Mytilus edulis: one gene and its partners. The protein of the gene in region 4 interacts with the protein of the main gene of each other region in a biochemical or structural test. Links are inferred from orthologs where the notes say so. Each region holds a gene or a part of one and is shown on either strand. Other genes may lie near its edges.

Region 1 (7,796 bases), on a different chromosome or scaffold from region 4:
CTTTCGACCTTTATGTAGACCAATTTGAAAACAGGACCAATAATTTAAAATCTAAATACACGGTAAGATTCAGCATATCAAAGAACCTAAATAATTCATTGTTTTATGATTACAAACAAAGTTTAATTTTTGACCCCGATTTGTACCAACTTGAAAACTGGGCCCATAATCAAAAATCTATAAACATGTTTGGGATTCAGCATACCCTTTGGACCTTAATGTGTCCCAAATTAAAAACGGGACAAAAAAACACAGACAGATGGACAGACAAATGCAACGGTAAACCATAATATATCCTGTAAACAGGTGAATATATTAAAGCTCATCTATCAAGTGATCAGTTCAATGGGAAAGAGACACATCTTTCTTTTTTGTTCAGAACTTGTATAAATAACTTGGAGTCTGACCAATGTCTAACAAAGTTTATAGAAAGGATACATCCATTACTGTGTTGACTTCTGAATGATACAATTTGAGCTCTCTCCACTGGCCTATGAGGGAATATCCTACTAACTGGAGGTGCACTCTTCACAGGAGGTCTTGGTGGCAACGAATCTCTAGGAGTTCCCTTTGCCTGTAGAACAATATACATGGAATGTCAATGCACATTTATACAAAGTCTATTGCAACTGTGGAATCACCATAATTCATAGGATACAATTTTTATGACTTTGTGGGTAAGGCAGATTTTACAATAAGAAGGAAATATTGTTTTTTTGTATCCATCAAAAAAGCAATTGCTGAAACTGTGAAACCGACTGTGTAATGGAGTAATGCATTATGTTATTGAATAAAATGTGTCTTTCTGAGTAAATAAAAATAAAAATTACTCTGTGTTTGTGTTTTTTGTTAGAATTAGAGGGTTTTCAATTTCAAAATATTGGACATGGAATAGACATCATGACCTACTTTACTGACATCCAGCTTATTTGGAGTGGAATTTTGAAGTATTATTTATAAGTGGAGCCTAATAACATGGACTTATATTTTAATAAAAAGTCTTCTTTTGTGTTTTAATCATAACTTTAAGGCAGTTTTTTATTGGTAAAGGCTAAAAAAGGTAATTTAATAATATTGTTGCTAACGTCACGTCTTTTCCGTCCATTGTGGTATGTCACGATCGCAATTTTCTTGATGGTTCTCAGACAGCCCATTGTAGTTATTTTTATCCCGGGTTTTATAAATAATTGAAAATAGCATTCATATTACATTTGGATGACGTAAGGGGTTCAAAGGACTTGAGGAATCAATATCATTGGCTGTTTTATTTTTTGCGAACGTTACTCTCGACGTTTCCGTCCAAATCAGTGTCACGTGAGCAACATATATTTAGATCTGTAACTCTCCTGTATAGGAGTTACGATATCGCCCTTTGCAGAAATAGATTCGGAGTCAGTTCCTTCACATGATGGGGAAGCAAAGATGGGAAGTTGTATGTAATATCGTTACAAGAGGACCTTAAATGTATTCCGTCCACCAAAAAGACGTTCGCAACAAAACGTAATGTCATGATAGTAGATGTTGCTAATGTTACTATTACGAATTGGTTTCTTGTGTATTCAGTTGATATAAAGTACACCTGCAAATGACATTCTGTATATTTAGAAATTCTAAACCAGACTGTACAATTTTATTACTCCAGGCGTATATTAAACATCACTGTGTGCATACATTTTAACTTTTAAAGATGTTGTTGCTCATGTGACATGTCCAAATGTCGCTAACGTTACTCATTTTTTGGTTTCTTGTGTATTCATTTGATATAAAGTACACCTGCAAATGACATTCTGTATATTTAGAAATTCTAAACCAGACTGTACAATTTTATTACTCCAGGCATATATTAAACATCACTGTGTGCATACATTTTAACTTTTAACGATGTTGTTGCTCATGTGACATGTCCAAATGTCGCTAACGTTACTCATTTTTGTCTCTGTCACGTTAGCAACATGAAAGTAGGAGACAGAACACAATACTGTAAAATCTGCCGTAAGTAAATCATGAAATTTAAAGTTGAACCAAGTACAAATGTTCTATAAGCTTGAATACAACTTTGGAAAAACCCAGAAGTTTCCAATGACAGGTCACAGAGTTAGGGATGGCATCAAAGTTCAATGTAGGATAAAAAAAACTTAATTCATATAGTTTTTTCACTGCCCCCCACCCCACTCTTCACTTAATTTGGGAAAGATTGATTGACCAATATGATAGAAGTAAAATGGATCTTGAATTGAACAAAACTTGCAGCAATTTTTTTATCCTACATTGATCTTTTAATATCCTCCCTTATCTTCCATTTCTCTATGTTGTTGAAAAACAAAACGTTTGCCAGCTTAGTTGATTTTCGCCTGGATATTTAAATATTTAGACCTGAATAAAACATAAGCCCATTATGAGTGTTGCTGATCTGAAAATTAATGCATGCTTCTGATAAAAGAATCATTAGAAAGAAATGAGTGTCTTTGCAAGATATAGAAGCATATAATCAATTGTAATCTGCTATAAACCATGTCCCAAGAATGTTGTCAATGTTGACGTTGAGGAAATGACAAACATGAGTTTAATTATTGTGATTTTACTTTAGGGAAATCTGCGATAACAGTGATCAAGTCACATTGTGAATTTAGGAAACCTCACAATAACTTCAGAATTTAGTGATCAAATTAAGACAAAGGAAGAGACATAATTAAACAATTGTCACTTGATAAGATGTTTTTGACAATAACCTGACAAACTTAAATTAAGAGTGCTATTGCCCAGTGGCAATAGTGGCTAACACTGCATTTTTTATTTTTGGGTCACCTTTTTAGTGGAGAACGTTTGAACATCTTGGAAGAATCTTGGTGTGGGCCTTGGACTCGAAAATGCGTCCATAACGCCCTCTTTCTTAACCATAGTCGTAAAAACTTGTCATAGTTGCATGTCGAAACTCTCAAATTTTAACTGATAAACACTGCACTTTCACATCACATCATAACATTTCGCGGTATTTTGGTTATTGCAATTTGAAACGAGCACACCGATTGGACATTAAAAATGTCAAAACTTAAACCAACTAATCTAAATAAACGAACAAGCATATAAATATATAGAATACATTTCAGTATTTTAATAATATAGTTGTCTTATATATTTCAATACTGAATATCTCTTCAACAAATTTTTTTTGCGAAACAATGATTACATTTGTCTATACAAATATTTACCCAATCAACTGCTTGCTTGTCGATTGCTCTTGGCCGAAAAGTGGAAACGTGCCAAGATCTAAAAATAGTTTAGATATATTCTAAAAAGTTGACACATTGATGGATTGGAACCAATAAAGTAAGCCGCGTGGAAATTTCACTGTGACATTTTCAGACAAATTCCAAAGTACTTTTAAGTGATTAGTACTTTTGTTTAAACACTTTGTGTAAAATCTCTAAATTTTCAAACAATTTAATAGGGTTTTTACTACAGTAGGTCAAGGGGGTCAGTAAGTGGTTTTTTTTAGAAATTTAAATAAAGTGGGGGGGGGGGGGGTGTGTCAGGGAATAGAAGTTTCTTCATAATAAAAGTTCCAAAAGGAAAATATATTCTAGATATTATTTCCACGGGAATAAATATTACAGAATAAGTTCCTAACGGAATAAATGTATGGAATATTTGTTCCAACAGGCTGAGATATTATGACAATGTTTATAACAAAGTTTCCATTGGAACTTCTGTTAATAGGCGGAACAAATGATTGTTTGTTGACAGGGTCAATTTTATGTGTAATGAAAAAAATATGTTGTGAACTTTTGAATCTCAGACGGTCAAGTATATATCCTAGTATATATATATACGAGTCTAAATTGAAAACTACGTTCAAACCTATGATTGCGTTGGATAAAAACCGCAATTTTTACGTGTGCATGTAAAACAAATTTCGTTGTTGAAGGGTCTAAAAACAGCACAAACAACATATTCCAAAAGATCAAACAAGTTGCTTTCTTAAAAAAAGAAAAGCAATACATGAACCTAAGACCGCTGACTGCCGTGTCACAAAAAGATTGTTGATAAATTTGTGTTTGCTTTTGAATTGAAATAATTGCCAGTTGAAAGTATATCTTTACAGCTTCTATTTGAATAGTTATTTAAAACTCAACTATTTTATTTATTACTTGGGAATGTACATACTGTTTCCGATTATAACTCTTTGGCAAATCCTAATTTCTACTGACCGGATGATTTATGCAAATTGCACAAACCTAACACAATATAAATTTATGCACTCAGTTTGCTTTATAATCTAGAATTCTGGATGCATTTATTTTATCTATCATATCTTTATATTGTGTGCTCATGGTAGATGGTGTATGCGGTGAAATCTGTGGCATGCAATTGATTGTGACCTCTTATGAAGAGACTTATTTTGGTCTCATAAAACATCTCAAATTTTAAGGATTTCCTGATTTTACTTTAATCAATTCAAACATTATACAGGGAAACTTAGTTTTGCCGAAGAATTTCTTAATTCAGAAGTTTATGAATACCTTTACACACTTTCGAAATAACCAATTTATATAAAAAGGTATGTAGATATTAAAAGATACCAGAATTAAAATGATGTTCGCCAGACACGAATTAAGTCTACAAGAAAAGCATCAGTCACGGACGCTCGAATGAAAAAAGTTAACAGTCTAAATACAAGTACATTACAAAGTTAAGGAATCTATTCTTTGGGTAGACAATCCTTATATCTTTTCGAACAGGTCAAAGTTTATAATAGAACAGTAACTCAAAAAGAAATGAAATAGAAACAACTCGAGGTCAGAATACCGTTAGTAATGATGACCGTGCTTGAAAGTCACATGTAAAGCTCTTTCTGCAGTGTCCTGTATTTAGATAACAAAAACGAACATAAGCTTTCACGAGTGAATTTAATAGTATTGCATGCAAGTAGTATTTTAGCGCACTAAATAGTACATAGAAAGCATCTCACTGATACTCAGAAAAATCTAATAGTTGAATTCGAATGTCAAACGGTCTACATTAAATGTTTTGACTCCGGATTCATTGACATTTTATCCTGAATTTTTGAGAACGCAAACCGATAGTGTGCTTTTGAAATGTGATCTATAATGTGAATGAATCAAGACGTGTCGGATAGTTGGTCAACACAATGAATACAATTTTCAAAACCGTACCATAGTACAAGTATGTAAATGCTATAAGGTTAAACCAGGGGCGGATACAGGATTTGACGTTAGGGGGGCGCAGAATAAAATTTCGAAAATTTTTTTGAGGTTAAAATGATCAAAGTTATTGAAATATTCTTCTAGAGTGGGTGCAATGTAGATAGATATCTTGCCAAGCGAAGTGTGGCGAGAAACATTTGTGGTAAAATGAGGGAGAAATTAAAGTTTCAATCTAAAACCGCATAATTTAAATGACAATCTACATTAACCATAATTAACAAAACATCTATTAGTTTCTGTTCATTGACTACCTCTATAAATTTACCAGAAAACGGGACTGAACAAAAGTGGAATAGAAACAATTCTGAGTACACAAACTGATTCTCCATATAAAAAAAGTGAGACGAAGCAAATGACGATAGCTCATCTGACCAATATAAGGTATTGAAAACGAAAATGATTACTGGTACAATTTATTTGTCAATTCATGATACGTGTTTTTATTTTTGTTCTATTTTCGGTGGTCGTGCTAGACTTTTTACATACTGTAAAACAAACAAAAATGGCCGCTAACCACTAAAATCAAAATGAGATCCTTAAACAATTCATTGTGCTTATTTTCTTGGGATCCCATGTAATACGGTAGTACCTACGGGTTTGGGCCTTGACCGTTTATGCATGCTTCGGCAAAATTTACATGTTGCAAGTGAGAAATCGTGTATTGTCACAGAGATATTAAATAATGAGTCAAATTAACAAACTAACCTCTCGCTTGAACCATAATCTTTATCTTTCCTTAAGAAAGAATCTAACTTACACTGCTTTCTTGGTATGATGAAATAACCAACCGGTTACCCAAATAGCGGGTATGGCTCCCACCTTCTTCGTGGTAAAGTGATGTAGGGATGTTTTTGAACTTCGATTATCAAAGAAATTGTTCATTAAAACTGCAACTAGAATGTCACAATTTTTTAATTCTAACTGCTAAAAGCCTATGATATTTGTCATCAAACGCAGTACCGCTTTTGACACCTTCCTTTGAAGTGTAACATGTTTATAGAACTTAAATAAACAAAAGGTCAGTTGATTAGTAATCACGTTAAATGATTCTGTTAAATTACTGTTTTATATAGTAATACTTGTTTGAATGTTACGACAGATTGAATGCGACGACATTAGCTTTCGTCGGATACTTTATTACGTCCGGACAACCCATGCTTTGCAAATTTTAGGGGTGTGGGGGGGGGGGGGGGCACGCCCGCCACGCCCCCGCCTAAATCCGCCCCTGGTTAAACTATTAAAACAAACAAACAAAATTTGAATTGAAATTTCATAATAAACTAACGTTCCTGTTAGTATTTTTTTTTAAATCCTTTGAATATATATAATATTAATAAACACGAACGCATACCTGTCAACCTGTGACGATGAAAATGCAGGTCATGACCTGCATTGAAGAATCAAATCTCAGGTCATAACGCGTACGAACTTTTTCGAGCTGAATTTCAGTATTTATGGTACATTTTCTTATAATGTATATCAAAGATACCAAAACATCAATGCATGTTCACTTGGTTAAGTCATTTTAAATCTTATTTATTATTATTTCATTACACTTTTAAAGATTTTTATAAACTTGTGTATCACAGTCTTATTTCCATTACTTTTTGTCATCATCTAAAATTTATTTTTCAAATATTATTTGAGACTACTAGCCTTTCAACATATCATGTAGAGGTATTACATGTATGAACATTCATCCCTCAATCTTACAAGGAAATTAGACTATGATAAAATATAGTAATACAGTTAAAGCATATCTATGGTTAAAGGAAGTATAAATGTAAAAAATAATTTTCAACTTTTTTTTGAAAATTGTATAAAGGTATAAAAATAATGAAAAGTTATTTTTCAATATGTATTTGAATTTGATATTATTATGATTTAATCTTTTTCACCCATAAAGCGTAAATATTAGGAATAATTTTGAATGGTGACAAATAAGGGGAAGTAACTCTTAGTTGAAATATCTTTGTAAAACAGGGCAATTTATTTACGACCTAAAGCTAAGGTAATTGGTGTTAATCAACAGTGTGTTTGACACCAAAGCTGTCAAGTGAAGCCATGCACTTAATGGGTCACTTTAAGTTAATTTGACAGTTTACATAGCTAGATGAACTGCATGTTCATGGAATAATTACGAATTTGCCGGTATTTCAAAGGAATATTACTTATGAAAATCAATCTCAAGGCTAAGAAATACGGGTGAAATCGGGTCATTTTCGGAATTTCCGGGTTATTTCAATGACCCTGCGGGTGATCCGGGTGATCCCTCAGAATTGTGAAAATCTCGGGTCACACCCGCAGAATCCGGGTCAGTTGACAGGTATGCGAACGTCAAGTATTAACGGATGGACATTTTAATTTTCGAATGAATCTATTTTCAAGTTCAAACATTCCACTATGTGAATATATCACTATGCAAAATATAAGCAAAGGCTTCTAAATCCATACTAAAACCAAGGATTTGTATAGTAAGTCTTACTATACAAATCCTTGCTAAAACGGTATAAAATAATCAACATTATGGTCGTGATTTAATTTTATTGTGATAATCAGTCTATGGAAGGT
Region 2 (7,859 bases), on a different chromosome or scaffold from region 4:
AATTAAGGGGAGACAAGTCAGAAAATTTAATGTTAATATTTATTCTAATCTTCTTATAGAAGAAATGTATATTCATGGAAAATGTGTAATAGATTAACCTATTTGACTTCCTTTTTGTTTTCTCTGGTGGATAGTTGCATTGTATCATTGGTAATCTTACCACATCTCAATTTTTTTGTAGATTTATCTAATACCTGAATATAGAACATTTTAATACATAAGAAGAGAAGTTATCAGTTGGGTTTTTTCCCACTCCCCTTTTGTAAATAATAAGACTGAGATGAAAGGGGAATGTGTCAAAGTGACAACCCGACGAAAGAGCATAAAAAAGCCTGAGACCACTAGTGTGTCTTCATACTTACAATAATCTGCAAGACAGGTCTATCAAAATTGTTTCCACCAACTATAGCCTACAAAAAGAAAACACACAAGACTTTATAAGTTATAGCACAATAGGATTTACAATTGCACGAAGGAGCTTAAGTTTATTTTTTAAGTCATTAAGATATTCATCCAAAAGTTTTCACACTGAGGAATTTTATCCAACTTGGATTGCTTTATAGAAAACAGTAAAAAATATATTGAATGACCAAAAGGCGATAAATTTTTTTGAGACATTTATTTATCTAAGTATATAAGTTTTACAGATATTGGAGTGACTGGAGTCTATGCATCATCCATGGTATAGATGATATTGTAACAAACCTAGGGTTACTATAAACTGTTTAACCATCATTCAGGAGGAGTGGAATCGACGGCAGTGTGAAGAAACAGATTTGTAATAAACATAACAATGATATTTATTTCAACAGTTTTTTGACTTCTTCTTTCAATATAATAAACATCAAATACACATTCATCATTCAACAGATAAAGCAATAAATCGGGTGGTCAATATAAAAGGTAGTTGACGGTTCAAGAGATTGATTCAGAATGACATGTGTGTCTACAGGCTCCTATTTATGTCTTTTGGCACTTACTATGACGTTAGAGTAAACATCTAATCATCCAATCAAAAGCAACGTTTCTTACGTCTTTTGGCTAGTAACGTTTAGAAAGACAAACAGATTTCGTTATTCTTAGATAAAGAAACATTATTAAGTTGTCCTCACTTTGTCCTTCTTGTCCGAATTATGTTTAAAAGCAAATGAAACTAAAAGGACATTTCTACATAATGCTATTTTTAAACGGACAGTAAATTCCTTTCTCGGTACGGCGTATGAACTTGGGTGTAATTTACATAACCTTACGCATTAGATATAATGCTTAAATAAGATCAATGAAAACCCTGTTCTATCATAAATAAAGACAATGTTAATGAAAAGGGAGGCACAAACATAATAAATACGCAAATTATCTGCATTGACAAAGTGTTAACTTAAACAAATGATAATGTGAGATCGCAAAGTGAAAGTACAAAACGGTGTCGTGGCAGATGTAAACAAGTTGAATCTCACGACGATATTTGTCAAAATAAATCACTGTATGACGGTATAATCAAAGTATTTCATAGGTAAACATTACCAAGATATACATATAAAACTGACCCTTATCGCTTGCAAAGTACAAATAGTTTAAATCATGAGTATGAAAGTCAATGCATTTATCAGTGTTTGTGCACTCGAGAGAAGTTGACCACCCGGCAATATTCAAATAAATATATGTCATATACAATAAATAATACGTTAAATAATAACAATAATAAGTCCAGATTTGTCACAATATCAACAGGATGAGCCTATTTACTTTAGCCCCCAGCACCATCTGATAATACTAGAGGTCACTCAAAACTTTAAAAAAAAACAGTGTAAGACAACACATAGACTGTCTAAATACTTTTCAATTAAGAGCAAGTATAATATGTAGACAGATTAAAGGAAGATGTGGTATGAGTGCCTAGATACATTAATATATTGTTATGCAATGATAATTTAAAAAAAATAAATTTTGTCCTTAATATAAATGTGGATATGATGCCTGAAGTCTTATATTTTCGCAACTGCATGGAGAACACTTTTTATGCAGATGCTGATATACATTTATTATATCTTTTTTATGAAACTAAAACTGTTTCAATGGCTATGGTTATCAGGGTTTTAATGCTTAGTTTTAAATTTAAACCAAACTCCTGCTTTTTACCCCCTTGTTTTAACTACGGTACATGTATAGTACTGCTTTATTTGCTGATGTATTATGTGTAACTCTTTTAATTTTGATTAAATTAATATATTAATCTGTGAAATCTAAGTCGTTTTTTTTACATTTTTCATTTTGATATTGTTTTTGAAAAACAATGCCTTTTGATGTCTTACATTTTATAAATCTTCCGCATAAACTGTGATCCATTATAATCAGTCTTTCGAAATTGTATTCATAAATTATATTATTGTTAAAATTGAAACATTCATACTTGTTTTATTACAAAAAAATTACTTGTCTAAAATTAAAAAAAAAATAATGTGCACAACTTATTTTATCAACACAAAGTTGCGCTATTTTTTCTTCCCCGGGCGCTTTTATTTACCCGGACACATTTTAGTAGGACCCATTGGGATGAATGAAATACAGCAATTATGATAAAGAAGCTTGCATCAATTAAATCAAGGACATATATGTCACATACGACTCCACAGCACAGCTGGTGTAGGCACATGTGTATCCGACATCAAGAATGTTAAATCTGACTTAAACCTAAAGTACACATCTCACCTAACGGTTAACTCTAACCATAAAGAGAAGGGACTCCCTCATCGGCGGACATCGCTTATAAGATCTATATTAAATTATACATTGTAACTGAAAGAAGGACATGATAACATAAAGTTTAAACAGGGATTGTTGAATGGTTATTCGCCTCTTCAAAATTTGATTAACCTCAATAGCACCCGATGTTAGATCTGGTGCCATTCTGTGTTGTTTTTCTGTGAAAGTGCTGTGACTGCTTTCTGCTTTATTTGCTGATGATTGCTTATTCCCGCTAAATATATAGCTTACTACGCATGCGTCAATTGTACCTCTTTTTCCGGTTTTTTAAATGCAATCATCTAAGCGCTTTACAAGAACGGTATTAGCAGTGGCTTGTAAAGCATTTCAAACTTAAATGAAAAATGAAAACATTGAATAAATGTGAAAGATGAAGATGAAAGGGATCGGTTATTCGTTTTATGAGCACCATGTAAAAGTGTTAGATTAGTCGATAGACTTATTAAACGCCGCAATGCCTTTTGTTAATATGAAAAAGGCTGCTCAGGCCTCAGGTAGCTCAAAAAGTTTTGCTGTGAAAGTGACAACAATGGATGCAGAACTTGATTTCACGACTGTGGAGGTGAATATTTCGAGCATTACTGTGTGTTATTGATTGATAAATCGTCTCTGACATGATATTTTGTAAAACTACTAAATTAGTTAAGTAATAGGAAACACATATATATCACACTGAAGTCAAATCACACATAATTTTATTTAAAAATTAGTCATTTCGTACCCAGATAGATGTTATCTGGTGTGTTCGTTCACCTGTAGAGTCTTTCACCTTCTTTCAGTTTCTGCGATCTCTGAGGCAGAGTTGTCTCCGTAGTTATTACTGAAAATTACTACTAGTCAACAATGAGGTTGTGAGTTGAACCCGGCTGGTACGGGTGTACTTATTCCAATCTTAATGGACTAGGATTGTCAGTTTTCCAATTGAAAGTCAGCGGGTTTTTCCAGGCACCTCAGCTTCTTCATCCAATAAAAACTTGCCACCACAAAATAGCTCAAAAGCTGTGTTTAAAAGTGGAGTGGTGTTAAAACATCAAGAGTTAAATCTTTCAGTTTCTAGCAATCCTTCAATTATTGAATAGTGTGTTGCCATGAGTTCGTTCTCTCTACTTTTATTGTCGAGCCTTCGACTTAAGTCGAAAAAGCGAGACTAAGCGATCATACATTCCGTCGTCGTCGGCGTCGTCCACAAATATTCACTCTGTGGTTAAAGTTTTTGAAATTTTAATAACTTTCTTAAAATATCCTCGGTTGGTACCAAACTTGGACAGAAGCTTGTTTATGATCATAAGATAGTATCCAGAAGTAGATTTTGTAAAAATAAAATTCCATTTTTTCCGTATTTTACTTATAAATGGACTTAGTTTTTCTACAGGAAAATATTACATTCACTCTGTGGTTAAGGTTTTTAAATTTTTTTTAATAACTTTCTTGAACTATCCTCGGTTGGTACCAAACTTGGACAGAAGCTTGTTTATGATCATAAGATAGTATCCAGAAGTAAATTTTGTAAAAAAAATAAATCCATTTTTCCGAATTTAAATTTTAAATGGACTTAGATTTTCTGCCAGGAAACAACACATTCACTCTGTGGTTTTTAAAATTTTAATAACTTTCTTATACTCTTTTGGATTTGTACCAAACTTGGACAGAAGCTTGTTTATGATCAAAAGCTAGTATCAGGAATGAAATTTTGTAAATGACTAAATCTATATTTTCATATTTTACTTTTAAATGGACTTAGATTTGCTGCCAGGAAACAACACATTCACTCTGTGGTTAAACTTTTTAAAATTTTAATAACTTTCTTATACATGTACTATTTTGGATTTGTTCTTAACTTGGACAGACAGAAACTTGTTTATGATCAAAAGCTAGTATCTAGAAGGAAATTTTGTTTTCTTCCAGTTAACATTACATTCAGTCTGCAGTTAAAGATTTTAAACATTTATAAGATTCATAAACTATCCTGGATTTTTACAAAACTTGGACAGAAGCTTCTTACAATCAAAAGATAGTATCAACAGGAATATTTCATTGATTTATTTCCTCATTTTTGTTGAGCCTGAGATTAACAGAAAGAGTAGGCAAGACACTGGGTTCCGCGGAACCCTTACAAATTTTTTTAATATATTTATACTAATGGCATTCAAGTTTAAGAAACTTATTCAGATATTGGTGTGGTATAAATTCTTGAAATTCACTTAAACATGTAAACACATGGACATATTGAAGCATTGATTGTTCAATGACATGCTAATAATTCTGACCCGTTCTTGTAATACTTGTCATTGCCTTTTTGGTGGATTTATAATTAAAAAGATGTTTTAAAAAATATGTCACCTGTTTTTCTATTAATACATATTAAACTTAAAATATCTACAATTTCAAGATAAAATATCTTGATTTGTTACTTCTCTATATATTTGAAGGCCCCCTTGAAGGTTTTGTAGGAGTAAATGAGCCATTTTGAACATAAAACCCACTTCGACATTTTGAAAAGTTGGCTGATATGCTTAGCAAATGAGTTGGGAAATATATATGCATACTTTAAGAAGTTTAGTAGTGGCCTCAGGATCATCAACGTTCAAAAAAGTAAAATCAATAATAAATAGGAAACAAAGATTCTTCTTTATTTCAGAATTAAAAAAAACAAACAAGCATTGACAAAATATGAAAAAAAGATACCTTAAAGTAATATAAAATAAACTTTTAATCAATGTGTAAGTACATACTAGACATACATTAAGTTTTATTCTATTTTTAGCACAAGGCTACAGGCAAAGATTTATTTGAACTGGTGTGTAGAACAATTGGTCTGAGAGAAACATGGTACTTTGGTCTGCAGTATGTTGACACGAAAGGATATATAGCATGGCTCAAATTTGATAAAAAGGTATTTTAATTAGGGCCCTGCGGAATGGCGAATGCCCTATAGTGATCATTCTGTACGTCGGTCTGTCCATAACAAATTGTGTCCACTCTATGTCTAGACAACTGTTATGATTTCAAAGTTTATACTTGACATGTATATTATACAACACCAGAGGGTGTGTCATAATTTATGTACAACTTCGTAGGTCAAAGATCATCATCAAGGTCAAAATCATCGGTTTCAGTTGACAACCCCATGTTTAATGATAAAGATACACATTTTTTACCACACATTATTCACAGCGGGCCCACAGAGATGGCTTCCATCTCAATGATATCTAGTTTGTTTTTTTCAAATTTTATGCTCTGTATCATCAAGCTAATTTACTCAATACAAAAATTTGACCAACAAGATATATTTTTAACTGAAACAATCAGCCACCTGGTATTCACTCTATCACTATTAGAATAGCAGTATATTGTGTATTGACACAAAAACATTAACATGATGAAAAGATGAACATCATGAAGATTATAGACAAGAAGTGCAGAAGTTAAATATTATTTTCATGTACATGTAACTACGATTAATTAGAACAGCCATATTATCATTTACTGTGTTCTAGCTGCAACATCTAGTTTGTGCTGCAATGAAGCTAGATTACTTTAAATTCAGAAATTCTTGCACCCATTTATTATTGCAACTTTTGAAAAGTGAACAAAAATGTAAGTTTAATTATTGCAATTTTAGGAAACGCTGCTTACAGATATATATATCTGATATCAGAATACAAGTAACTTCTAATTATTGCAGTATTAAATCAACTAGTAATGACATTATTTGCATTGATAAAAAACTTTGGCAAAAAATTCTGAATTTACAGTATATTTCTAGATAAATGTACATGTGACAGTGTTCTCCCCAGGATTTTTGGATAGCGCTGTGGTAAGCGCGTAATTTTCGACAATTCTCAGTAACTTTATTGCGGCGCGCGTTTTGTTTGTAATTGATTTGATGTGTTTTTATTATATTATGCTATTGATGTTTTCTCTTGTAATGATGTCCTCATCATGCTCATGATAGTTACAATGTACCCCTTTGTTTGTTAATGTTTTTGTCTGGATACACATGATATAGAAGAAGAGTCTTTTTTTTCCTCCATTGTAAATTCATATATTAAATCCTCATACTATCAGTGTATAAAACTGAAGGAGAAGTCTTTTTCCATGATGGGTTTACACCAGACTACCTATGTGAAGATTTCTTAGCACTAACAGGTAATGTTGCAGAACATGTAGGACCAACAATAAAGTCCTTGTCAGCTTCTGTTTGGTTTTGTAACCCACTGTAGCAGTGTACAGTTTACCGTCTTTACCTTACGACGTTTGACAGGAATTGACATTTTTTTAGCATAAAGATTTCTCATTTGTCTGACCTTAAAGTTTTATAATATTTAAATGGCCTCATCCAAGCTGAACATCGAGAAAGTGAAATTTCTCAAGTCGTATCAGCTTGGGGTTTGTTTTTCTAATCATATCCTCTCAATTGTTTTCAAATGGTAGAATTTCTGACTAAACAATTATAAGTTTGAATAGGTGATAATTAATACTTCAAAGACTTGCTCATTTTCGGGGTTCGTATGGATAGTAAACTCGGCAAATAATTTGTAACAAACCCCGGTGTTTGATCGTTTTTAGTGGAAGAAGACGTCAAGTCTTCTGAAGACTTAAGGGGCCGACCATTGGCTTTGAGTCTCCGTATGCCGCATTCATTTCGTGTATTACAATATCAAAACAACTTAGATTCCTGACACCGATTTTTACACATGATTGGGCATCTGAATCATTTAATTTGTAAATTATGATTGTAAAACAATCACTATCGTAAATATGACCCTTTTATTTATGTAAATTATTAGATTTCATCTCATCCACATGAACGTAATTTGTTTACTTGTAACAGGATGTTTTTACTGTAGATATTTGTATTACGCATGCGTGAATTTGGTATCGGTACAACTCGCCCTGTTTACAAGTTCGCCCTTGAAGTTACGAATTTGCAATCCTGCAGACAAGAAGATTTTATTTTTATATAAATAAAAAGGATATATAAAGTGTTATCTTTATTCATGGGTTTCCTTTGTCATGTGAATTAGATGCCCTTCGTAACATACATGTGAACCTCCCATTTAGGAGAAAAAACTCCCGTGTATGAAATTTTTCAG
Region 3 (7,669 bases), on a different chromosome or scaffold from region 4:
AAAATGAGTATTTATAACTGTCTTTAGATGTTTGTATTTGCCTAAATGAGTGTGGATTGCTATGTCTGGTTCTATTGTCAAGTGGGATCAAAAGATTATGTGTAGGAACTGCAACAATTTCATGAATAATTTTGTAGAAGAAAACAAGTCTGTATCGTACACGCCTAATTTCGAGTGGGTACCAATTTAGGTCTGTCATCATTTCAGTAACTGAGCTGGTGTTATGGAAGCGGTTGCATGAGAAGCGTGCTGCTCTTCTCTGAACCTTTTCAATTTGTAGAGTTTGTTGTTTTTGATGTGGGTTCCAAATTGTTGAGCAGTACTCTAATTTTGGTCGGACAAGAGCTTTATATGCATGAGCTTTAACTTTCGGTGATGCTATTTTTAGGTTTCTACGAATAAATCCAAGGGACTGGTTTGCTTTTGATGTCATGTTATCTATATGTTTGTCCCATTTTAAATTTGATTGAAGAGTTAGGCCTAAATATTTTGTAGAGTCAACTTTTTCTAAAGAGTGATTGTGTAATTTATAGGTAAAGTCTAAAGGTTTGCGTTTTTGGGTTACACTGAGAATGTTGCACTTATCAGGGTGAAAATGCATGAGCCAGTCCTGCTCCCACCTGCCGGCCGCTTCTAAGTCAGACTGTAATTTAAATGTGTCATCTGTTTTTTTAATTTCCCTATAAATAATGCTGTCATCTGCAAACAATCTTAATGTACTGTGTTCAATATATTCTGCCAAATCATTAATGAAGATTAAAAATAAAATTGGACCAAGCACTGTGCCTTGAGGTACCCCAGATGTTATAGGAATTTTGTTTGATGTTTCACCTTCAAGGACTACTGTTTGTGTTCTGTTTGTTAAGAAATCTTGAATCCAATAATATGCATTACAATTTATACCATAGAAACCAATTTTATACATGAGGTGGTGGTGTGAAACTTTATCAAATGCTTTTGCAAAATCCATTATTATGATGTCTATTTGGATGTTTTTATTATTTGAATTTGCAAGATCTTGAATAAATGATATAAGCTGAGTTTCACAGGAGCGGGAGGATCGAAAACCATGTTGTAATTCATATAGTATTTTATTTTTTTCCAGATGTTTCATAATGCTACTAGCTACAACATGTTCTAATAGTTTGCAGCAGATGCAAGTCAATGATATTGGGCGATAGTTTATGGGATCGTGTTTGTCGCCTTTTTTAAATGCTGGACATACACTTGCGTGACGCCAGTCATCTGGGATCTTTCCAGAGTTCAGTGATGTTTGAAATATGATGGATAAGATGGGAGAGATAGATGATTTACACTCTTTTAAAATTTTACCATGGATGAGATCAGGCCCAGCTGCTTTGTTGATGTTAATGTTATTTAGAAGTTTTTCTATGCCGTGTTTTTGTATCTTAATATCAGGCATCTGTGGATGTTTACTGACGCCCTTGTCTGGTATTGGGTCATCTGTTACAGGTGTAAATGCTTTTTCGAACTGTTCATTTAAAATATTAGCTTTTGCTTTCGAGTCAGATGTTAGTGAGCCCTCTTTTCGGAGTGGTGGTATGTTTGAGCTTTCAGACTTTTGTGTTTTTATGTAACTGAACAGATTTTTTGGGAAGCTCTTTGATATCGTTGTAGGGTTTTCATCAACTGGTATCCCACATATCATATTTTCAATATAATTCCAATAAGATGTTCTTTGTTGTTTTTGTATATCATGTTTCAATTTTTTAAGTTGGTCTAGTTTCCCTTTGCCTTTTAATTTGTACTTTTGATATTTTTTCTTGTACTTTTTCATTTGCCGTCTAATACTGTCTGTTATCCAAGGTAAATTTTTACTATTTCTCATCATTTTCTGTGGTATGTTCTCAGTGATAGTGTTTTGTAATGAGTTTTTGAATATTAACCAAAGTGTGTTTGTATCTTCACTATCTTTTTTATGTATGATCTTTTGATATATTTTGTCTATATCCTCTTTTATTTTTTGCCAATTTGCATTTTTATATTTATATACTTTCCGTGGCTTGGTTTGGCATCTTTTTAGTGATAGTAAACATTCTAAATATACAATATCATGGTCTGCCTCCCCTAGTGGTGGTATGGTTTCAGTTTTTTCAATGATGGCTGGATAATTTGTTAACACAAGATCTAAAATTTTATCATTTCGAGTTGGTATGTTTACAACTTGTGCTAATGAATGGTCATTTATCATATCTAAAAATTGTTGATGTTGTTTTTGGTTTGGTTTTCCAGGGATGACACTTGTTGTTTCCCAATTGATGTTTCCTAAATTAAAGTCCCCACCAATAATTATGGCTGACTTTGAGTTTACATTTATTCTACTTATGGATTCATTTAGTAAATCTAAAGATGTATCATCATCTGGCTGGGGTCGATAATAAGCACATATATAACATTTACGTGCATTTGATATCAATAATTCTACCCATATCATTTCACATCCTGTGTCTAGTTCTTTGATTTCTGTACATAAATAATTATTTGATATAGCTATGAGTACACCTCCATGACATTGTCCTTTTTTATTTGGTGGTCTATCTTTTCTAAATACTGTGTAATGATCTTTTGAAAAATATTCATAAGATGATGTTTTAGAGTCTAACCAGGTTTCAGTGCCAATTATAATATCAGGCTGTGTGGTATCAATCAAAATATCAACTTCTGGTTTTTTGTTCTTAATAGACTGGAAGTTAATGTTTACTATTTTTAAAGGTCTGAGTAACTTATTTTGAGTATTTATACCTTTTTTGTTTTGTTTTCTGATGTCCTTTTGTGATTGATCTTGGATTCATATTTACATTTTATAATACTAGTGGAATGATTAAACGTGTGTGTGATGTACAACTTACGATGGGGATGACATTTTTGCTCAAAAATTACATTCGACGATATTCAAAACATATTTCAATGGCGCTTCTTGGTTTAAATTCGCTTTTTATGTTACGGTGTTTTTGATTGGCCCATCAAGTTGATTCGACAACAGCGATTAGTCAAACTAAGGGAAGTAATTTAAGAAACTGGTTTCTTAAAATCTAAAGAAAAGTTACCAGTCTCACTCGGAGTTCAATCGTAAATACTCGGCCTGTTCCGACACGCCTGCATTGCAACCGGAACTACTCGGCCTTTCTGGTTGCACGAAGTTATTGTGCTGCATAGCGAGAATGGCCGAGTAGTTTCGATTGGCCTACATTGCGTAGCGAGTTGTTACGATTAATTCGGAGTTTATATGTGGGTCTGGCTGGGGTCTGCATAATAATGGCCAAAATAACATAGTTAGAAAAATGAAAAAAAAATAAAGGGTGCAGAAATAGAAAGTAAAAAGATAGAAAGTAAAAAAGAAATAAAAGAAATTGTAAGCATGATTACCGCAGTCTCCTTTTTATAACAGGCTATCGTGGGCCTCATCATATTCAGATATAATTTAATTTTGGATGAAACGTGTCTTCTGATTGGCTTACGTCGTTTTGTTTATCAGCCCATAGACATAATTTTGTCATGTGACCGTGACGTCATCAACGTTTTTTTTATGATTTACTCATGTTTAAAATGGATATTAACTCAGAATTATAGGGAGAACATATTTCGGAGACAAGTGCCGAAGATGATTACACAAATGAACGATAGAGCCTACAGTTTAAAGAAGTCATTTTATTACATAGCAATATAATAGTTCCCACAGAAAAATATATTCCCCAATATTCATGCAAAAACCCTATATTATTGCAGAAAGATAATATTAACATAATTTTCATCAGAATTTTACAGAATAAGCGTTCAAAATATCACGTTAAAGAACATTGAAACTACAGGCCATATGGCCTCTTACTTATGTGTTTATTTTTCAGCATCATCATTAGTTGTTGTGGGGGATCTTGGGTGTGCAGCTGGTCTCTACTTAAAAAAAAAATTAAAACGGTATCGTCTATCAAAGGCATATTTTAGAATTCATTTGCTCCTTAGTATATCATAAGTTCATTGTGTCATGATTTTTTGCATTGGACTGACACATTAGTTTCTATCAGTGTATTCGTCCAAGTAGAGACATTCTAACAAATGGTACAAGCAAACAGAAATAGTATGAAAGCTTTTTCAACGGTTGCATTGTATTATATTAATGACTGCTGACAGATATTACGGACTTGATTAGCCGGATCAACGAAAAATCTGTAATAATCAGACTTTTTAAAATTTTATAACTACATTAAATGCCGCTGTACAGATTAATATATGGTATTAAAATTTTGAACTTGTTGCCTTTTGTTGGCTGTTGTTCGTGTTATTCTTTGTCAATTGTGTTCTCCAATTTATTTATATTGTAGTCCTGTGTTGTCATTTTGATGTTATATTTCACATGGCCATAAAAGTGCGAGGTTTGGCATGCCACAAAACCAGGTTCAACCCACCATTTTTTCCTTTAAAAATGCCCTGTACCAAGTCAGGAATATGGTCATTGTTATATTATAGTTCGTTTCTGTGTGTATTACATTATAACGTTATGTCGTTTGTTTTCTCTTATTTTTGAGTGTAAATTCACATTGCGATAAGACGTGTCACGGTACTTGTCTATCCTAAATTCATGTATTTGGTTTTGATGTTATATATATATGTTATATTTGTTATTCTCGTGGGATTTTGTCTATATGTGTTACATTTTAGTGTTATGTCGTTGTTCTCCTCTTATATTTAATGCGTTTCCCTCGGTTTTAGTTTGTTATCCCGATTTTGTTTTTTGTCCATGGATTTATGAGTTTTGAACAGCGGTATACTACTGTTGCCTTTATTTATACCTTAACAATTGTAAAAATGTAACTTTTTGACAAAAAAACGAGAAAGTTTCACATGAAACAGTTAGTATATAAGGAAAGCCCAATAGGTATTTGAAGATTGTTTTTCTTTCATACCGGGGACTACAGCTTGCGCATTATGCCTTCTTTTATTATTTTAGTTAAAGAACTAGAGTGAAGGCCTACTTGTGAAAGATGTTGAGTGTCAGGATAATTCAAGTCTGGTAAAAAAAAAAGTTACACTTACAATATAAATTCGAATAAAGGGATATTCTTTGAGTGGAACATGATCATCAACCAAATGACACCAATGACGATACGGCACCTAGATGTCAACATACAGTTTTAATGAAGACACGCCAGCCAGGTGTCATACAATATAGCATATGCCCAACAACCTCTTTTATTCATAGTTAAGTATGTTTGGCGAGACGAATAACTTTACACTGTTTATATAATCATTAGATATTATCGTATTGTCTGCCATGAAACTTTCTGCCAAAGGGTAGGAGTTGTCATTGTGATCTCTCTTCATAACACCAACGAATTAACGTCCAATTAGTTATTGTAGAATCTTTGGATTTTAAAGTGTAACTTCAATTACATGTGGTAGGATAATCTCAGGCTTTCTGGATAACCAATTTTATAACTTTTACCAAAACATATATGTAATTGGAAGATTATAGTATATTATATGCATAATACATGTTCCATATTTAACTTATTATTTAAACACACATGGATTTTCCATATCCATAAAGCACCAAAGTTTGTCTTGAAATTGGAAGTATCCTTGGTTGTTGTATAAAAAAGAAGATGTGGTATGATTGCCAACGAGACAACTGTCCACAAGAGACCAAAATGACACAGACATTAACAACTATAGGTCACCGTACGGCCTTCAAAAATGAGCGAAGCCCATACCGCATAGTCATCTATAAAAGGCCCCGATATGACAATGTAAAACCATTCAAACGAGAAAACTAACGGCCTTATTTAAGTACAAAAAATGAACGAAAAACAAATATGTAACAAATAAACAAACGACAACCACTGAATTACAGGCTTCTGACTTGGGACAGGCACATACATAAATAATGTGGCGGGGTTAAACATGTTAGCGGGATCCCAACCCTCCCCTAACTTGTGACAGTGGTATAACAGTATATATACAACATATATAAGAAGTTTCAACTTGTTTGCTTTTCTTTAAACTCTGAGTGTGTTGTGCATACCCGTATCAACTAAAACAAATATATAGCTTTCGATGCAATAAACGCAATATATTTCATATATTAAATAGATATAAGAAGATGTGGCATTAGTGCCAATGAGACATCTCTCCACCCGAGTCACAATTTATAGAACTAAACTTGGGCCATTATAGGTCAAAGTACGGTCTTCAAACAATGTTTTAGATTTTAACGAGAGAAATTTATGTATTACTGAAAAATTATTACACCAGGGTTTTCGATATCACAAATTAGTCAAAATATTTACTAAATTTTATCATCGGTATAAGACCATCATTCGTAAATATAGCTAAACATGCAGACTTCTTATACGTTCAGGTATTTCACATCCAATTTTTTATGGAAATATTCTTTATAAAGCACAAAAATGTCAGTATTCACCTCAGAAGCTAACAAAACCTTGAAATAGACTTATTAAGAAGGGATATAGTTACGATACTGTTGTCAGGTCATTAAAGATTGCATATTTTGGCGTTTATATTGATTCACTTATAGGGTCTTTGCATCGGAATTAAACACATTCATTTAAAAACCAGTTGTTGGCATGACACGGGTTATGTTCTTCTCATATATGTTATGATGGTATGATGCTAAATCCCCAACGGGAAGGATTGTACCTGATATTCATTTGATGAAGACATAATCTTTCAATCAGTTTAATTGAAGTCTGGAGCTGGCATGTCAGTTAACTGCTAGTAGTCTGATGTTATTCATGTATTATTCACAAACATGTTTAACCCCGCCGCATTTTTGCGCCTGTCCCAAGTCAGGAGCCTCTGGCCTTTGTTAGTCTTGTATTATTTTAATTTTAGTTTCTTGTGTACAATTTGGAAATTAGTATGGCGTTCATTATCACTGGACTAGTATATATTTGTTTATGGGCCAGCTGAAGGACGCCTCCGGGTGCGGGAATTTCTCGCTACATTGGAGACCTGTTGGTGACCATCTGCTGTTGTTTTTTATTTGGTCGGGTTGTTGTCTCTTTGACACATTCCCCATTTCCATTCTCAATTTTATTATTGTCATTTTGTTTATTTTCTTACCTTCTGACATCAGACTCGGACTTCTCTTTAACTGAATTTTAATGTGCGTATTGTTATGCGTTTACTTTTCTACATTGGCTAGAGGTATAGGGGAGGGTTGAGATCTCATAAACATATTTAACCCCGCCGCATTTTTTGCGCCTGTCCCAAGTCAGGAGCCTCTGCATGGCCTTTGTTAGTCTTCTATTATTTTTAATTTTAGTTTCTTGTGTACAATTTGGTGTTTAGTATGGCGTTCATTATCACTGAACTAGTATATATATATTGTTTAGGGGTCAGCTGAAGGACGCCTCCGGGTGCTGGAATTTTTCGCTGCATTGCCATACCTGTTGGTGACCTTCTGCTGGTGTCTGTTCTTCTATGGTCGGGTTGTTGTCTCTTTGACACATTCCCCATTTCCAATCTCAATTTTATTCAACACGGAGCCTTGGCTCACATTTAAAGGGGCCCACAAATTATACTAGTGTAAAACCATTCAAACGGGATAACCAACGGCCTAGTCTGTATAAAAGTCGAGAAACGAGAAACAAAAGTTTATATTATATATTTTGGCTAAAGTTTTCTATGA
Region 4 (7,087 bases):
GCTCCTGCATTTAAAATATGACCAATCAAAAATTCGAATAATTTTAAAACGTTAGACCGACCAAAATTTTAGAATATACTATCGGAGTCAATTCCGGGATACTTTTTTTTCCTGAAATTTTACCTCCGTGTACAAGTATTATTCTCCTGTATAAAAGGAGCACACCCGCATTGGATAGACATTAGACATTATTAGACATTATTTTATTAAACCAATCATGGGCTCTTGTCGGGCAAGATACAAAAACATCATACAATGATTATATAAACATAAGTGAAATACACAATATTATAAGTAATACACAAATAATAAATTGATAATATGAGCAATGTAGGATATAATTAAGGTCAGAGGCATTGAGTGCAATGAGGTCGATTTAATATTAAAAGAATATGATATAAAGTTTATTAATACGGAAACAAAAAGTAAAAATAGAACCAGGAATATCTATAATACTAAAATTACGAGGTCCAATTTGTCATCCGTCATCACGTAAAAACGACGAATCAAAGAATTCAACTTTATATACAACTAATATAGTACAAAGGTGTAGATTAAAAATTACACCACTGCAGGCCCTTTTGTTTTCCACGTAATTAATATCGCCAATAATTAGGAAGTTCCGGGTCGAGTCCGATACCGATACCAATAGTATAATCACCTGTTACCTATTACCTTATCTGTACGTTCCGCATTTAACAGGCGCACCACCAAACGGTGTATTCAGGATTAATATGCTATATAAACGGGTCATAATCACAGGGTTGACACTACTAAATTGTCAAATTGTTACCTATTGTAGTATTTTAATCCGTAAGACTTTCTAAGATAACAATACAAATACTAAAAATCTGGACTAGAAATAAGTTTCAATTTGTTAGCGGGCATGACGTAAAACAGCGAATCAAAGAATTCAACTTTATTTATAACTAATATAGGACAATGCTGTTGTTTAAAAGATACTCCATTCCCGGACCTTTTGTTTTCCAAATATTTAATATTAACAACAATTGATAAGTTCCAGTTCGACGGGTTCAAACAGAAAGATTTGAAAATTGTGTATCTTATAATCGGCATGACTTTATCAGATGACAGTACTAATACTAAGATAAGGCTTGCGCATAGTTATACGTTAATTCAGTCACGGAACCGCGATATCACGGGTGTGTTCTAGTAGTATCTCATTCTGCAGTAGTTCTCCTCATGACCAGTGCACAGCAGTGCGTATTGTGCATTTTCGAACTTAATATTCCAAACTGCATGAGAAATATGAGTAAACTGCTAAAATTCAAAATAAAGACGTGCTCGAAATAGCGTGCCAAAAATTCAAAACGGCAATTTACCCGGCAGCATGAATACTGAGTAAAGTAACGGACTTCTCTTGAACTGAATTTTAATGTGCGTATTGTTATGCGTTTACTTTTCTACATTGGCTAGAGGTATAGGGGGGGGGGGGGGGTTTGAGATCTCACAAACATGTTTAACCCCGCCGCATTTTTGCGCCTGTCCCAAGTCAGGAGCCTCTGGCCTTTGTTAGTCTTGTATTATTTTAATTTTAGTTTCTTGTGTACAATTTGGAAATTAGTATGGCGTTCATTATCACTGAACTAGTATATATTTGTTTAGGGGCCAGTTGAAGGACGCCTCCGGGTGCGGGAATTTCTCGCTACATTGAAGACCTGTTGGTGACCTTCTGCTGGTTTTTTTTCTATGGTCGGGTTGTTGTCTCTTTGGCACATTCCCCATTTCCATTCTCAATTTTAAGTAAGTAAGTAAAACTTTATTTGGATTCGGCATGCCGTTTGACAAACAGTACAAACGTAATCTCTAATGAGCTTTTCACCGAATATAAAACATATGCAATTATAACAAATCAAGGATTTGTATAATACTATACAAATCCTTGAACACATAAAACAAGGCATGCAGCATGCAAAATAAATAAAAAGAAAAATTAACTCTAAGCAATAGCATATACATGTATCTTGCGAAATACCAAAACATATACTTGAAATGAATTTCTCAGGTGTATTCTTCAGTGATTCTGATGCCACTATCACCTATTTTTACTGATTTGTTTTTTATCATTTTTCTGTTTTCTTTTAGATATTTGCACCAAATGATTTTCTATTCTAAATATTTCTTGTCCATTTTTGTCTTCTTTTTTTTAATCCGTTTAAAACAAATGATTCTCCGGCTATTTGTTTTTGTGTTTTTTTCCCTTTATTTTTATTTAAATCTTTATAAACCTTTTACACTGAATTGGATGGTGAAGGTGACACGAAGAGCTCATTTTCAAAATACCGTTTTTTCCCCTCACAAATCACACTTTTAAACATCATATATTCAATTAGCATTCCATAATTATTACCTCTTAATCCCAAATCTCCACTTATTTATCTCCTTTATCTAACTTCCCCAAAACGTTTCACCCTCTAGAGCTGAGATGAAATGAAAGAGAATATGGAATAAGGAGATGTAGTGATTTCAATCCGAGACACCTATTTCCAACTAAATCAAAATTACATTGAATCACGCAATTAGAGGTTACCATACGGCCTTCAACCATCAGCAAAACGAACACCAGATTGTAAGTCCTGGTATGGTAAATTAAGAAACAATTTAAAAGAAAAAAATCCAATGGGCTAGCTTATCTATGACAAAATAATATTTTTTAAGATCAGCTACTACAGACAGCCACCAAGTTGAACGACAACAACTTAATATGTGCATGCTAGTTGCAATATGCAATATAGATTTTATTTGCTAGCAAGTAAAATATATTTAAATTATTTTACTGACCAACATCAACGACGACAACAACATTTTTTACAGATAGGGGCCTACATCTTACGCTTCCATTCTAAATTCTATAGCTATATAGTACTGTCTTAACAGATATATATTCTGTAAGTATTTTTACTCTAAATTGATAAAAATGTTTTCTGTTTCATTAAGTTGTTGGGTTACTGTCCGTGTCATCCATTAAACATGGCAATCTATCTTTTTTTCTGTGACAAAAAAACTTGATATGAGACATAAAATGGCAATATATATTAATCGATATTTCATAGTTTTTATTTCTATGTTCAGTTGTGATGTAACACTATTGTTTCAGGTAAGGGCGAACGTTGGTTCCTATTAAAACGTTTTAAACCGCTGCATTTGTTTGCACCTGTCCGCTAAGACAGGAACCTGATGTTCAGTGGTTGTCGTTTGTTGGTGTGGTTCATTCATAAGTGTTCATGACTCGTTTAAAAAAAAAAATATATAGACAAGACCGTTAATTGGTTTCTCTGTTTCAATGGTTTTCCATTAGTAATTTTTGGGGCCCTTCATAGCCTGCTGTTCGGTGAGAGCCAAGGCTTCGTGTTGAAGAACGTACTTTGACCTAGCTATAATGGTTTACTTTTCAAAAAATGAAAAAAAAGTGACTTGAATGGAGAGTTGTCTGATTGACACGCATATCACATCTGCCTATATCGATCTATATCTATTTAGGAAAGTTTCGTGAAGTCCCTTACATAGATTTACATTAACTGTCCGACTCGGTTTCCGAGGTAAATAATATAGAAGGGGGTCTCAAAATAATGTGTACGATAACTGATATTACCGTGTTCAATCTTTTTTTTTTAATGATAGGTAGAAGATTTCAAGATGCAAGATTGATCGATGTATAGAAGATGCTCTTTTTCGTTTTCAGTTGTTGAGAGATATGTTCAGAATGTAAAAACATTCACAACATTTTGTTTTGGGTCTTTTTGATTCAACTGTGTATAGTCTTGGAGAATCGGATAATATAAAAAAAAAAAGAAGCCTGTGGTATGATTACCAATGAGATAACCGTTCTCCAAAAGAGACCAAAATGACACAGAGATTAACAACTACAGGTCTCCGTACGGCCTTTAACAATGTACAAAGCCCATGCCGCATAGTCAGCTATAAAAGGCCCCGAAATGACAATGTAAAACAATTCAAACGAGAAAACTAACGGCCTTATTTATGTTTTTATTTTCAATGAACAACTTGTACATTCAATATCCACACATATATTTGTTATGTTTTGTTCCGTTGGTTTTTGTATACTGTTTTTTGTAGTTTATTTTTTTTGTTTTCTGTAATAGTGTTGTCAGTTTATTTTTCGATTTATGAATGTCCCTTTATTATCTTTCGCCTCACTTTGACTTTTCGCAATTTTTATTCCAGGAAACAAACATACGATGTGCAATACAACATATATGCTGTAAAGCGGTAACAAAGGGATTATGTTACGGATATGTATGTTTTATGTGATGAGATATTTCCGTAGATATATAATAAATAAATAAAACTTGCGTTTTTTATAATTTTGTCGTCATTGAACCAAAAACACTGAGTCTTGTCTGACTTTCAAATTAATCTAAATCCGATGATATTCGTGGCTTTCTGAAAGTATTAGATGTCTTTTAGATATGTTGATTTATATTTACGAATGAAGTCCTTGATCCGACTTTAAAATTTAGTAAATGTTTTGAATAGTTTTGTGTTATTGAAAATCCTGGTGCAATAGTTTTCAGTAATACCGATATTTCTTTCGTTAAAGTCAAATACGTAGTTACATATATCACGCCTGGTAAACCATCTAATCTCGGAAAAAAGTATTCTGGCACTTCCTGTTGAGCTTTCTGCTTCAAAATATTCAAAATAAACACAGGGTAGGTCGAATTTTCGTCGATTTACTGAAAATCAATGACATTTTTGTAAAATCGGAGAATGTCATGCCATAGATAAATAATAATTGTAACTAATATGTCTCTTCTTGGTTTAAAATATTTTAAATTGAAGTCACAATCACTTTTCTCCTACGGATTATAATGTTTACATTCTTTAAATCCGATAGAACTGCTATGATATTAATGACTTAGCAAGAAAATATGTCAATTATTTGTGTTTTTTTTAAGGCTTTACGATAACCACGTCTGTAATTTGCACAAATATTTCTTTGTCAAGCTACTCTGAGCAGAAAAATTAAAGAATATAAATAGTTGAGATATAAAGGTATTGGTTGAGTCTTTCTGTCACAATGTTGAGACTTTCTGGTTGCGCTGTACTATTCGAGTTTACCTTTTTTTTTACGGTTAACCTGATTCATGTTTTCTGTCTGTGGTAACATAAAATCTAAATACAGATACAATTTTAAGCATTGCCGATAGAAACATGCATGCCTTACAAATATAAATAACATTATTTTAACATGGTTATTTATTAATATGATTTGGATGAATTCGATTCCTAACAGACATTATTTAATGCCGAAAATGCGTACATGTATAAAGAAATAAAATAGTTAAAAACTAAACAATCGAACAGGACCCCTTGTCTAGAATAATTTTTTCGTACACACTATTTCAGGTGGTGATAATTTAAATGTGAGTAAAAGATGTCATTTTTGTCATTATAATAGTTATCACAAAAAAAATATGATTCGATTTTAAAATTGCTTTGTAAGTATTATAAGTGACGTCCAATTTAGTGTAATCACAGGTGTTGTATTGAAATAATTAAAACTTAGATGTTTGTTCACAACTGCATTCAGGGCACATCCTTAATATTTGGTAGTATTCAGCAACATTTATATTATAACCCGGGCCCCGTCACACTAGGCCGTGATCGCACTACGATCTCTAAAAAAATAATGCATTATGCTATTGACGATCGTAGTCCAGTATGGTCGTGTTACGGTCTTGATGAGGTCTTGGTGATCGTGTTGAGAGTAGCAAACTTTAAACATGTTCAAAACAATCGTGATGCGTTCTTGGCGAAATCAGGTCGCAGTTCTGTTCTAGTCGTAGATTTTTTTAGCCGTGGAACTGTCAGGATCAGTTCCAGGTTGAAGTGTGTAAATCAGTTCTAGGTAGAACTTACCAATGACCAAATCAGTTCTTGGTTAGAACTGTTCTAGCTAAAACTGTCTTAAAAGTGTCAGGAGATAGTTCCACATAACTTTTGATGAAATGAATGACTTTAATGGTTATCCATTTCTGAATATTAATTCAGTTTTCTTTTTAAATATTTTAAAACTGGATTTGACGTAGCTAAATTGTGGGAGATAGTTAGTTTGAACTCTGGCCTGGTCAACTTAAATTCTAAAAAACAAAATTGTGTGTGTCTATGCTAAACATGCGATATCTGCTAAAATAACAAATAACAAAAGTTTTTCATTTACAAAATTTGCATCCGTTAGGAGTCCGCGATGTGATGACCAAATAAAACGGACGTGTAATATGCCGAAAAATGGGGTGGAAGAGGAATAAGAAAAACAAATGTCAGAATAAAAAGCCAATAATTTTGCCTGATCATGATTAAGAAGTTGAACCAAAAATGATACTAAAGGAAACTAACATACCAATAATTGCTTTTTCTTACGCGATTTGTTTTCAATTTGTATGTATCCGTTTTATTATCAATGTTCTTTCTGTGGTACGATTGCCAATGATAACTCTCCACAAGAGACCAAAATGACACATAAAGTAACAACTCAGTAGAGGTCGCCGTACGGCCTTATAATATAAGCAAAACCCATACTGCATAGACAGCTATAAAAGGCCCCGAAATGACAATGTAAAACAATTGTAACGAGAAAACTAACGGCCTTATTAATATATATAAAAAAAATGAACGAAAAACAAATATGTTACACATAAATAAATAAATAAATTCTAGCCCTTGAGGTGTCAATTACAACATTATTGACGTTAAAGCTTCTGTGCAAAACTGCATCTCAATCGCTATAGACTTAATCTCCAGCGTTAGAACTTTAATACCAGTACTTAAAAAAACACAGCTATTTACTATTTAGACTCTATTACAACCAAAGTCCTTTTTAGAAGCTGCTGTGATAACTACAGACAAGATTAAAATGACTGTTGAAATGTCAAACAATATACGGCAAGTTTATGAATTTTGACAGTTGTACATGTAATTGATACTAAGCTACACAAGGTCATGTTTTTCTCTGACTGTTTATGACGTCTTGACACTAAATTCATTGGATGTTGGATGTGTACGGATTGATAGTTTAGTCTAAGATGCATGATTTTTTTATTAG

Evidence for each region.
Region 1: of the proteins of cyclin-dependent kinase 1-like (region 4) and membrane-associated tyrosine- and threonine-specific cdc2-inhibitory kinase-like, one has a biochemical effect on the other in vitro, tested with the Homo sapiens proteins (2 studies listed by BioGRID and IntAct). The link is inferred for Mytilus edulis from reciprocal best matches to the Homo sapiens genes CDK1 and PKMYT1.
Region 2: of the proteins of cyclin-dependent kinase 1-like (region 4) and replication protein A 70 kDa DNA-binding subunit-like, one has a biochemical effect on the other in vitro, tested with the Homo sapiens proteins (2 studies listed by BioGRID). The link is inferred for Mytilus edulis from reciprocal best matches to the Homo sapiens genes CDK1 and RPA1.
Region 3: of the proteins of cyclin-dependent kinase 1-like (region 4) and protein regulator of cytokinesis 1-like, one has a biochemical effect on the other in vitro, tested with the Homo sapiens proteins (2 studies listed by BioGRID). The link is inferred for Mytilus edulis from reciprocal best matches to the Homo sapiens genes CDK1 and PRC1.

The regions. Positions count from the first base shown.
Region 1 is NC_092350.1:92,510,806-92,518,601, reverse strand, and holds the start of membrane-associated tyrosine- and threonine-specific cdc2-inhibitory kinase-like, read right to left. Parts: upstream 3,022-7,796; 5' UTR 2,899-3,021; coding exon 2,806-2,898; intron 575-2,805; coding exon 439-574; intron 1-438. UniProt on the Homo sapiens protein: Acts as a negative regulator of entry into mitosis (G2 to M transition) by phosphorylation of the CDK1 kinase specifically when CDK1 is complexed to cyclins. Mediates phosphorylation of CDK1 predominantly on 'Thr-14'. Also involved in Golgi fragmentation.
Region 2 is NC_092349.1:5,677,841-5,685,699, reverse strand, and holds the start of replication protein A 70 kDa DNA-binding subunit-like, read right to left. Parts: upstream 3,007-7,859; 5' UTR 2,908-3,006; coding exon 2,875-2,907; intron 411-2,874; coding exon 363-410; intron 1-362. Other genes in the region: merlin-like, read left to right, coding at 3,218-3,325, 5,528-5,656. UniProt on the Homo sapiens protein: As part of the heterotrimeric replication protein A complex (RPA/RP-A), binds and stabilizes single-stranded DNA intermediates that form during DNA replication or upon DNA stress.
Region 3 is NC_092347.1:86,087,308-86,094,976, reverse strand, and holds the start of protein regulator of cytokinesis 1-like, read right to left. Parts: upstream 3,003-7,669; 5' UTR 2,885-3,002; coding exon 2,871-2,884; intron 1-2,870. UniProt on the Homo sapiens protein: Key regulator of cytokinesis that cross-links antiparrallel microtubules at an average distance of 35 nM. Essential for controlling the spatiotemporal formation of the midzone and successful cytokinesis.
Region 4 is NC_092352.1:29,770,193-29,777,279, reverse strand, and holds the start of cyclin-dependent kinase 1-like, read right to left. Parts: upstream 3,012-7,087; 5' UTR 2,924-3,011; intron 2,442-2,923; 5' UTR 2,372-2,441; intron 79-2,371; exon of another isoform or gene 1-78. UniProt on the Homo sapiens protein: Plays a key role in the control of the eukaryotic cell cycle by modulating the centrosome cycle as well as mitotic onset; promotes G2-M transition via association with multiple interphase cyclins.